Ovis aries: one gene and its partner. The protein of the gene in region 1 purifies or fractionates together with the protein of each later gene. This does not show direct contact. Links are inferred from orthologs where the notes say so. Each region holds a gene or a part of one and is shown in the gene's direction. Other genes may lie near its edges.

Region 1 (6,447 bases):
TAAGGCCATGTCATTCTCAAGGAAGAGAAGGAAGTTTGAGAAGGGTAATAACACTAACCAACAAACTTTAGAATTTTTAAAGCTCTTTGACATGTATCATCTTATTTTATCAATCCATAAAATATGACTCCATTTTACAGATGGGGGATCTGAGACTAGCATAACCAGCACAAGGATCCTGGGTTTTATATTTTATTTCTTCTGAGATTTTTTCCCCTCAGGTCTGATCTAATATACATGAGTAAGTTGAGAGTTTGGTAGTTCTTTAAAAGAAAAACTAGGCAATCTTTCATATTATTGCTAGTTACCTATTTATACAAGATTGCTGGCTGAGTATGGGGTCAATTTCTAGAACAAGGGGGCCACACTCAAGGATGCCATGTCTTTAGCGAACTCTACTGTAAGTGTTGGAGCTAGTGCATACCTGTCTAAAACCTGCTTTGGAAGAAAATCAACCTCTATATCTATATGTAATGCATCCAGCGGATGTTTTTATATTGTTCGAGCACCCGTTTCCTTCATCAACAGTCCAATATATTGCATGAGAGTTTAAAGAGTTCCTGATGTAGGAATCTATAGTTGAATTTTAGAGGAATTACTGAATTCCCTAAAAGTTACATGTGCCAGTGAACACACTTTTTAAATAAAATTGCATATTTTATTTTTGGAGGAGAGGGTATATAGCTTTCAACAGCTTATTCTCCCTGCCCTAAGATTAAGAACCATTATTTTTAATGGTTTAATTTAATTTTGATATTAGTCTAAAAAGCCAGACATATTACAAGGGAAATCTGTTCCCTCCATCTCATTACCACAACTGCTGTTTTCCCCTCCTCTATCATACAATACCTTAAGCAACATTAGAAGATGTTTACATTTCCACATCATTGTTGCTCTCATACTTGAGAGGTGCCTGGAGGAAAATATACATAACACAGTGATGCATTGTGGATTTTATAATGGACTTGACTTCCCAGTCCCATAAGTGTTTTAATTGTCATTATTTAAAACCTCATGTGTTGCCTAAACTAACAGCCACTGAAAGTATAGTCAAGTATTATGGGTCTTCAAGAGGAGTCAAGTAGGAATTGAAATATAACTTTTAAAACAGAGCTGGGTTATCTAGCAGACAGATTAAACATTAACTTTTCATTAAATATGTCGGTCACTGGAAGATGTCCATCATTGTTTCAGTGATTAAGGTTTTCTTGCCTGCCCTTTTATATGTAATATTGATAATTCTACCTAAACCATTTCCTTCTCTGTCTCCTAGATTGCAAGAAAATCTTCAAAATGGATGTTAAGAGCTAACAGGCATGAGCTTAGGATGTGTGATACTGTTCTAAATGCTTATGTGTGTATCAATTCATTTAAAACTCAAAACAGTCCTAGGAAGTAGGGACACCTCTTATTCCCCCCTCCATTTTATAACTAAGAAAAGTGTAAGGTTTTTCTAACAGGAAGGAAAGGTGGACAGAAGTGGCACCAAGACAGTGTGTGAGCCTGCTTTCTGAATCATCTCCGAATGCAGCCCTGTCCCTAGAGCAATGAGCATGTTTTCTGGTGTAGGAGAAATTATTGAGAACAGAGCCTACTAAGCCCAAGGATACCCTTGCCACTTTCCTATCTGCGTACAGGTAGAAATCTCCACCATCCCTTTTAAATTGACCTCATCTGCTCGGAGCCAGCCCGTATACTGGGCACTAGTACCAGGCATTGTGCAAGCCTAGGAAACGCTCTCCCCCGACATCCGTTTTACATGTGTGTGGAGGGAGGGAGGCACAGCCTGGCGCGTGAGCCAGTTCTCCAGAAGGGACGTTTGAGCTAGAATTTCTGGCATAATCGAGCCAGCGCTCGAAAACCTGGTGCTGAGCGTTGGAGGGGGAGTGTATCCTCTCCAAGAAGGAAAGCCTCATGGTGGAATGGCTGATACCTATCCTGGGCGCTCGGGGCCAGGACAAGCTGGCTGTTTCTTCTGATTAAAAGAGGAAGCAATAACTTTGCCTATGACTCCAAACACACTGGTTCGAACTTGGCAGTTAGGAATCCTATGCAGTTGTCTCACGCCACTCAGGGTGTATACGCGAGGAATTTTCACTTGGCTGGAGTGAACTCGCTCGGAGCCGCGCGTGCGCCTCTGATGGGGGTGGGGGCGCGCTGCGCGCGGACGCGGGGCGGGGGGCGGGGAGGAGGTCCCAGGGCGCCCTCCTTTCGCGGTCCCGTCGCGCTACCGGAGCGGACAGCTTCCGGCCGGTGCCTCGGGTCGCGTGGGCGGCAGACCTGTGACCGAGGAGGCCCGGCGGGGGCTACTTCATAGACGTCTTGTTCGTTAGGAGCAAAGGGCGCCTCCTGGAAGAGCGCGTGGAGGGCGCTCCCCGGGTGGAAAGACTCCTCGGGAGGAGTCGAGGGGCCGAGTCTGGGGGCCGCTTCCGCCAGCCCCGTAGGAGGAAAGAGGAGGGGCGGGCTGCTCAGGAGCAGCCTGGGCGGGCCGCCCGCGCTCGACGCAGGCGGGAGGAAGGGAGGGAGCGAGGGGCGAGCTTTGGGGAGCAGCATGGAGACCTCGGCTGACTTGCTGGCCGCCGCCGCCGCGCGGGGCCGGGCTGACGAGGTACGGGCACTGCTCGAGGCTGGAGCGTTGGCCAACGCGCCGAACCGTTACGGTCGAAGCGCGATTCAGGTGGGTCAGCAGGTCTGCCGCGGAAAGGTGGGCGGCTGGGTGGGTGGGTGGATGGCGAGAGGCTTTGGAGGACGAGGTCCGCCAGTGAGTCGGAACCAGGTAAGCGTTTCTTGGTAAAGGGGAGACTTTTCAGACCGAGTTCGGGATCGGAGACCTCTCGGCGACTCTCAGGGGGCTCAGGACGGCCGCGGAGCTGGCTGAGAAGGCGCGTGGGGTTCAGATCTCTAAAACGGTGTGAAGATCTAGAAGGGAGAACCTACGTGTGTTAATATAGACCGATATGCGAAATTGACGAACGTCTGGAGTACGAGTATAAAGACAGTAAGACATGCTGGACCACTTACTCCCGAACTTATAAAATTGTGAATGGAGCTGATCGACTTCTTTGTTGGGGGGGGAGGGGCGGTGAGAGGGAGATTTCAGTGGAAATCTACTGCTGTGTAAGTTGGAATAAAGGTCGATTGAAATTATTCAGAAGCAACCATATATCGTGTTTATTATTTTTTTTTAACCGAGTAAGGAACATATATGCTTGTTTAGGAAATAGACATACATGAAAAAAAAAATTAGTGCAATTATGCCTGAAATAATGCTGCCAATTTAGTTACCACTTGAGTGTCTCTTACCTTTTGGGGTATTTTAAACTTACTTGGTATACATTAATTTCCTGGGAAGTTTTCAGTTCCTCATAGTTTAAAAAATGTCATTTCTCCTCTCCCCACTCCAGTTTTGTATGTGTGAGGATGAGTTGTGAGTTCGTTTTTCTGTGTGTGTGTGTGTGTGTGTGTGTGTGTGTGTTTTGCCTTCACTAACTTCCTAAATCTGGGGCTAAAAATAAATTCTTCCTGGCAGTCACTCCAGTTTTATTCCAGGTTTCGACAACGATTTCTGATTCTGAAAAATAATATTTATATGAAATGTACACTGCAAAAACTCCAGCATAACAAGACAAAGGAAAAGTAACTCAACCTGGAACTTAACAAGTGATTTCACAAGCGAATCGTCCTTTCCTCAAACTATGCTACATAGAACAGATATATTTTATATACTTTTAGATACAAAAATAAAAATAAAATATCCTCAAATCTGAGATTATTTGGGATTTGAAATGTGGAGAGATTTGGAGATTAAAAGGTTGAATGGTTGTAGAAGAGAAGCATGAGTTCTTTTTTTAAAAAATGCATGCATGATTCATAATTGGATATCTCTAAAGTTTTGCCAGCAGTTTGCAGACTGGGTGTTACAGCCTTCTAGTTCTGAAAGATGTTATATTAGACTTTATTGTTTAAATACAAAAAGAAAGATAATTAATTTTAAATTATTTTTAAATAGGATAAGGGCATCGACAAAAGGGATATGATTTTAGTTTTGAACCCTAACCAAATTTGTGTTTAAAAATACTTAGTTTATAGAAAAATTTTAATGACTAAATTAAATTTATATCTTCAGTTTGACTTAAGTACCCTAGAAATATTCATTTGAATGATTTTCTTTTTGCTTTGGATTGCTACTATGATTTAAATATTATGTTACTTTTCATACTTTAATACTGTAGCATATAATAATACCTTTAACCAATTTAATGACTAAGACCAAGGACTTCATTTATCCAACCCATGTAATATATTTTCACCTGCATTATATACAAGCATGGAAGGAGACATACATATATATATATGAGCTCTGGCACTTATAGTAGAGTTTCCAAAAGATTATGGTGTCCTTGGGTGTGGCCCCTTTGTTTTGGAAATTAATTCATAATCCATGAGAAATCCAATAGTGTAAATTTCCCCAGTTTTTATTTTAAAAAATTCTTTCTTCTAATGCACTGTTAGTTTTCCTTTTTGTAGCTGCAAGTTGGTTCACTTAAATTTTCTCTGTGGTTTTTTTTTTTTTTTTAATTAAATCAGTTTCACTTTCTCTAGGATAGAACTCAACAAGCATAGTATAACTTGTTAAGATTCCTTGGTTTGAACAAATTAATTCAAGTTTAATACAGAACTCAACTAAAAATAAATAATTCCTCAATATAGTGTAGCTAATGTAACCAAATAATGGTTACCCTAAAAAAGAATGTTCTATCACCTCCACCCAATGTATAACACTCAAATTGCAAAGTTGCTGTGATTGTGAACAATATTTCAAAATTCCTCTTTGGTAATGCTCTTGTATCATCAAAGATTATTTAGGAACCAAATGAAGTGAGCACCTCCTCTTTAATGAAGTCTGAGTGTGATCTTGGAAGGTGTCTTCCTATTTCTGCTATAACAAATTACCACAAATTTAGTATCAACATAAATTTATTATCTTATGGTTCTGTAAATCAGAATTCTAAAATGGGTCCACAAGGTTGCATTCCCTTTGGGAGTTCTAAGGAAGAATCCATTTCCTTGCCTCTCCCAACATTTAGTGACAGTCAACATTCCTTGGCTCTTGGCCCCTGCATTTTCTCTCTGACCTCTGCTTCCATTCTTATATCTTCTCTGACTGTGATCTTTTTATAAGGAAACTTGTCATTAAATTGTGCCCACCCTGACAATACAGGTTAATTGCCCGCAAAATCCTTAATTTAATCATATCCACAAAGTCCCTTTTTTCACATAAGGTAGTATGTTAACAGCTTTTGAGTATCAGGAAATGGACATCTTTGGGGAACATTATTTAGCTTACCAGAAGAAGGAATTTTAGGACTGGTTAGACAAACTTTTTCATTTTATACTTCAAGAAATTGAAGTTTAACGTTCAGGGAAATCAAGGGTAGCTTAACGTTTTACAAGAATTAAGTTTTTTTTTTTTTCATTTTTACTTTTAAACAATTACCATGTTCTGGGCTTGGACATACAGCAGTGAACCATACAAAGTCTCTGGGCCTTGCATAATTTCATATCAAAATAAAATACAGGAGATTAGGCTGTAGTAGAAGTCAGTTTGTTCCTCACCCTTTTGCTGTTATCTATGACTCTGGTAGTGTTCTGTTCGTGGCTGGAACCCCGCAAAATGCTGAAGAATGTAACAGTGTGTACAGAAAAAAAAAAAAAAAGGAATAGGTAGGAGAACTGGCTAAGCGAGTCGGTAACTGAAAAAAAAAAAAAGTAGTAACTAGATTCTTGCGGATCGTAAGCGCATCTGCAGGGAGTACGGGTTCTACAAGTAGTTTCTTTAATCCTGCCCCTGCCCCCAGCCGTCCTGACCACTCTGCTCTCTCTGGCAGGTGATGATGATGGGCAGCGCCCGCGTGGCGGAGCTTCTGCTGCTCCACGGCGCGGACCCCAACTGCGCGGACCCCGCCACCCTCACCCGGCCGGTGCACGACGCCGCCCGGGAGGGCTTCCTTGACACGCTGGTGGCCCTGCACCGAGCCGGGGCGCGGCTGGATGTGCGCGATGCCTGGGGTCGCCTGCCCGTGGACCTGGCCGAGGAGCGGGGCCACCGCGACGTCGCCCGGTACCTGCGCGCGGCCACGGAGAGAAGGCTGTAGCCACGCCCGCGCAGACTCCGCGGAAGGTCCCGCAGGTGAGGTGGTGGATCCACGAGTTTGAACTCAGAGAGCTTCCGCTTCCCAGAGCATTTACTTTTCAGAAGAGAAAGTTGGACTCAGGAGAGTAGGCTATTTGATGTTAGCTCACCCTGCCAACCTGTGGGACAACCCCAGTCTCCGATCGCGCCACCACGTTAGGGCTGCGGACGGGGATATCTCAAGATGGATTTCCTCACGTTAAAGCCCATCGCAGAAACCGGGCCTCCATCCCCTAAACACACTGCACAGCTAG
Region 2 (4,037 bases), on another chromosome or scaffold:
GTCTTTCCCGCCTGTTTTTCCCTGCACCTCGTTGCAAAGCCTGCAAAGCTTTGTACAGTCTACTCCAACCGGGAACACCACTCCCACATCTCCCTCTTTCTGCAGCTCTTCTTTTAACACTCAATTTAGGTGTTATCTTTGGGATGCCTCCTTTGACCCTCCTCCCTCCCCATCCCTGCCCTAATCACATAACACGTAGCAGGTGTTCAACACTTGTCTATTACATAAATTCAGTGAGAAGGTAATGTGCCAAAAAAGACTTTTAAACCATGATCCACGGTAAAGCGAGGCAAGTAGGGCGTTTCTAAAAAGACTCTTCTTGAGAGTCTCTTGGACTGCAAGGAGATCAAACCAGTCAATCCTAAAGGAAGTCAACCCTGACTATTCACTGGAAGGACTGATGCTGAAGCTGAAGCTCCAATACTTTGGCCACCTGATGCGAAGAGTTGACTCATTGGAAAAGACCTTGATGCTGGGAAATATTGGGGGCAGGAGGAGAAGGGGGCGACAGAGGATGAGATGGTTGGATGGCATCACCGACTCAATGGATATGAGTCTGAGCAAACTCCAGGGGATGGTTTACGACAGGGAAGCCTGGAGTGCTCCTATTCACGGGGTCGCAAAGAGTCGGATACGACTGAGCGTATCTAAACAACATCAAGTTATGGGCAGCATTATCACCATCTTCTACCCCACAAAGAACCACAATGCACTGGAATGTTTTCCTCTGGAATTGCATTTCTACTCTTGTATTCAAAATTTTTTCCCACTTATGTTCAAAATTAAAAAATGACATCATTAAAAAAATAAATAAATAAACAACATCAAGGACCTCTAGGTTCCTCAGTAGGCGCTAGGACCCTGTCGGCCGACTCGTTAATCTTTACGCAGAGGGCTCCGCGCCTGTCTGGCCGGGAGCGACTGGGATCAGCTCCAGGGCGCCGCCTGCTGGGATTCTGCAGCCTCTGCAGCCCTTTCCGGGCGCCCCAGCTCCTGCCAGGTCTTGAGCCCGCCTCGCGTCTCCCATTGGCTGGCTCCTCTTCTCCCGCCCTTCCCGGGCTCAGCCACTCGGAACCCCGGCGTGGGTGGGGCTTGAGGCCTGGGATGGAGCGCGCTTCCCGATTGGCTCTGAGGAAGGCGGTGACGTGGCCCGAGAAGACCCATCTGTGCCTAACCCGAGGCTCAGCCAGAACAGCCCTGGATTAGTGGTAGGCGGGGCGTGTCCCGGTCGGAGGCCGGAAACGGAAGTGGAGGAAAGATGCAGGTGGGGGAACAGCAGCTGGGGAAATGGGGGGCTGCCCTGGGGCCCCTGGGCTGAGTTCAGCCGGTCCTTTCCTGACATGCTTCCTCAGGCTCTCTCCGGGGGCGCCCTCCCCGGCCCGTTGTGCTGGCCCCACAGGGTGGCGGTTGGGGCGATGAAGTGAGCGCGCGAGCGGCTTGTCAGCTCGCAGCACTCACGCACCTTTCCCCGCCGTGTTTCCCGCCAGGACCATCAGCACGTGCCCATCGACATCCAGACCAGCAAGCTACTCGGTAGGAGGGGCGCCCCCGCTCACCTAGCTGTCAAGGGGAGACCTGGCCCCCTGGCCCTCTGTCACCAACAGCGGACCCGCCGACCACTCGCTCTGTTCTGTGCTCCCATCTGTGGCTGGACCTGCCTCAGTAAAAGGAGCGGGAAGGAACCATGCATAGAGTCTATACTTGACCTGTGTTTTCTATTTAAACGTATATAACATGTTGTCAGTCATGTATTTTAGGGACAGAGGAGAGTTGAAGGCTTGCCTTAAAGATGATCAGCTGCCGAATGGCAGATCTGAAGTTAGAACCTAAGTCTGTCAGGTTCCAGTATTGTATTACGCTGGAAAAAAAAACTTTCTTCCTTTTTATTTTTTCCTTTGACTTTAGGAGGAAAAGGCACGTAGGTCCAGTTGAAAAGAAAACCTTTTAATGGCCAGACCATCTCCCTGCTGTCTGTATCGCGTCTATATACCACCTCTCTAGTTCAGAGCCAGGGAAGGGCCTCTTCACTCTGACCCCTCTAGGGCAGTGCACAGCTCCTGGATTTTTAAATGGTCTTTGAATTAATTGTTTTGATGCCAGTTGTGTCATTAAGATGACATCTGTTTGACTGTGTCGTCCCTTTGCTTCCACTTCTGTGACATCTACATAATTTTTGTTTTTGGAGATTTTAGTGGAGTGCAGCAATGGGGATATAACTGATAACTAGTGTGGGCTCCCAGCATTTGACCAGTTAGCAGATTTCTTAACAAGGGCAAGGTGGCCACTTAGTGGAGCGTCTTTAACTTCATTTTGGATTTGTCCCAGCTCTTCAGGACCTGTACACTCTTGATGTATATGCTTGTTATTGGTCCTGAAAAGGACTGGTAAAAACCCAACCATTTATTGAGGGTTTATTCTATACCAAGTGCTGTTTTATGGGCTTAACATTATGAAAATGAAGACCACTACAATTCATTGAGCCCTTGCCATGCGCCAGGCATGATGTTCAGTGTTCTACCGTTTGTACTCAGTATATTTATCATGCCCATTTTACATGTAGAGAAACTGAGGCACAGAGAGGTTGAGAGACTTGCCCAAGAAAGTTGGTAATTAGAACCAGGACCAGCTGACCACAAAGTCTAGGTCTTAGCTCTCTCCTATGAGGAAATGTACATAGCTCTCATCCACCTATACCCTCAACTGAAAACAGATCTGGCCCAGAATCCAGGAGATCAGTCACACTGGTATCCATGTGTGCAGGATGGTGCTTCGCTGATAAGAGTAGACCAGTGTTATTTAGTCCTTAGGGGCTTTGCAGTTGTTCATTCATCTGGTATTTGGTGTAACCGACTTGTGTTTTTCATTGTCATGGTTAATCCCAGCCCTGAGAAAGTAGAAATTGAATGGCAGTAAGAAAGATATAATTATCCATGGAAGCAAAAATATCATGGAGAATTTAGAGTGGTCCAAAGTGTCACTTTGATGTCAGGACCAATTGAAAGCTTTCCTTTATCCTGTGTTGAGGCAGTTACTTTATAAAGTCACATTGTGGATAAAGTTAGGTTGCTGGAATCTGTTTAGCCCCAAGCATCCCTTTGAGCCTGTCTTCATTCCCATCTTCCCGTGACCCCCACACCTTAACCAATATGAGTACAACTTTTAGCCAATGCCTTAGCATATTTCACTTGAATCAGTGATGCAGTTTTGGCCATGGGAATGCTATGATTTGGGTTTCTGCTATAGACTGGCTGGTAGATAGAAGGCACTGCAACCTGAAATGGCAGAGTCTAGTATTGACCATCCGAGAGAAGATCAATGCCGCCATCCAGGACATGCCAGAGAGCCAAGAGATCGCCCAGCTGCTCTCTGGATCCTGTGAGTGCTTCGGGGCTGCATTACTGGACCCCCGTCTTTCTTGGGGTGGTATAAATCTGCTGAGCTGTTCCTCTTTCTTTAGTCATAGGACTGACCTCTAAAGAAAGAGAGGCTTTTATTTGGGGTATAGAGGCTGGTTTATTTCAACACAAAATGATGAAGGGGAGAGCTGTGCCCTCTAAAGTTACTGGCATATACATGAGTCAGCCATATGCGGAGGCTGCAGTGGTGGGTTAGAGACTATTATTTCCAAAGTCTTTGTTTTTCTTTGCTTTCCAGACATTCACTACTTCCACTGCCTAAGAATTGTGGAGCTTCTCAAAGGCACTGAAGCCTCCACAAAAAATATTTTCGGCCGGTACTCTTCACAGCGAATGAAGGCAAGTATGGGTGACGGTGGTAACGCGCAGCTGGAGGCATCCAGTCCAGGGGGTCAGAGGCTGTCTGGTCTCGCTGAGGTTCCATTGGAGATGCCCCCGTGGAATATTTTCTCAGCTTTCTCTCTGTCCCCATAGTTTATGCCAAAAGTAGATCCTGAAAGTGGAAGTATCAGTCGCTCAGTTGTGTCCAACTCCTTGTGCCCCTACGCCTGGGTTTCCATTTGCTTTAGGAATCGCTTGTTGGCACCATACTCTTAAAGTGGGTGGTCCAGCCAGCATTAT

What was found. Proteins that work in one complex are often made in the same cells at the same time.
Region 2: the proteins of cyclin-dependent kinase inhibitor 2A (region 1) and CDK5RAP3 purify together in Homo sapiens (affinity purification with western blotting; 3 studies listed by BioGRID). This does not show direct contact. The link is inferred for Ovis aries from reciprocal best matches to the Homo sapiens genes CDKN2A and CDK5RAP3.

The regions. Positions count from the first base shown.
Region 1 is NC_056055.1:90,754,476-90,760,922, reverse strand, and holds the start of cyclin-dependent kinase inhibitor 2A, read left to right. Parts: upstream 1-2,222; 5' UTR 2,223-2,551; coding exon 2,552-2,677; intron 2,678-5,888; coding exon 5,889-6,155; 3' UTR 6,156-6,190; intron 6,191-6,447. UniProt on the Homo sapiens protein: Acts as a negative regulator of the proliferation of normal cells by interacting strongly with CDK4 and CDK6. This inhibits their ability to interact with cyclins D and to phosphorylate the retinoblastoma protein.
Region 2 is NC_056064.1:38,227,377-38,231,413, reverse strand, and holds the start of CDK5RAP3 (CDK5 regulatory subunit-associated protein 3), read left to right. Parts: upstream 1-1,237; 5' UTR 1,238-1,258; coding exon 1,259-1,264; intron 1,265-1,487; coding exon 1,488-1,533; intron 1,534-1,905; exon of another isoform or gene 1,906-1,947; coding exon of another isoform or gene 1,948-1,969; intron 1,970-3,243; coding exon 3,244-3,375; intron 3,376-3,654; coding exon 3,655-3,755; intron 3,756-4,037. UniProt on the Homo sapiens protein: Substrate adapter of E3 ligase complexes mediating ufmylation, the covalent attachment of the ubiquitin-like modifier UFM1 to substrate proteins, and which is involved in various processes, such as ribosome recycling and reticulophagy (also called ER-phagy).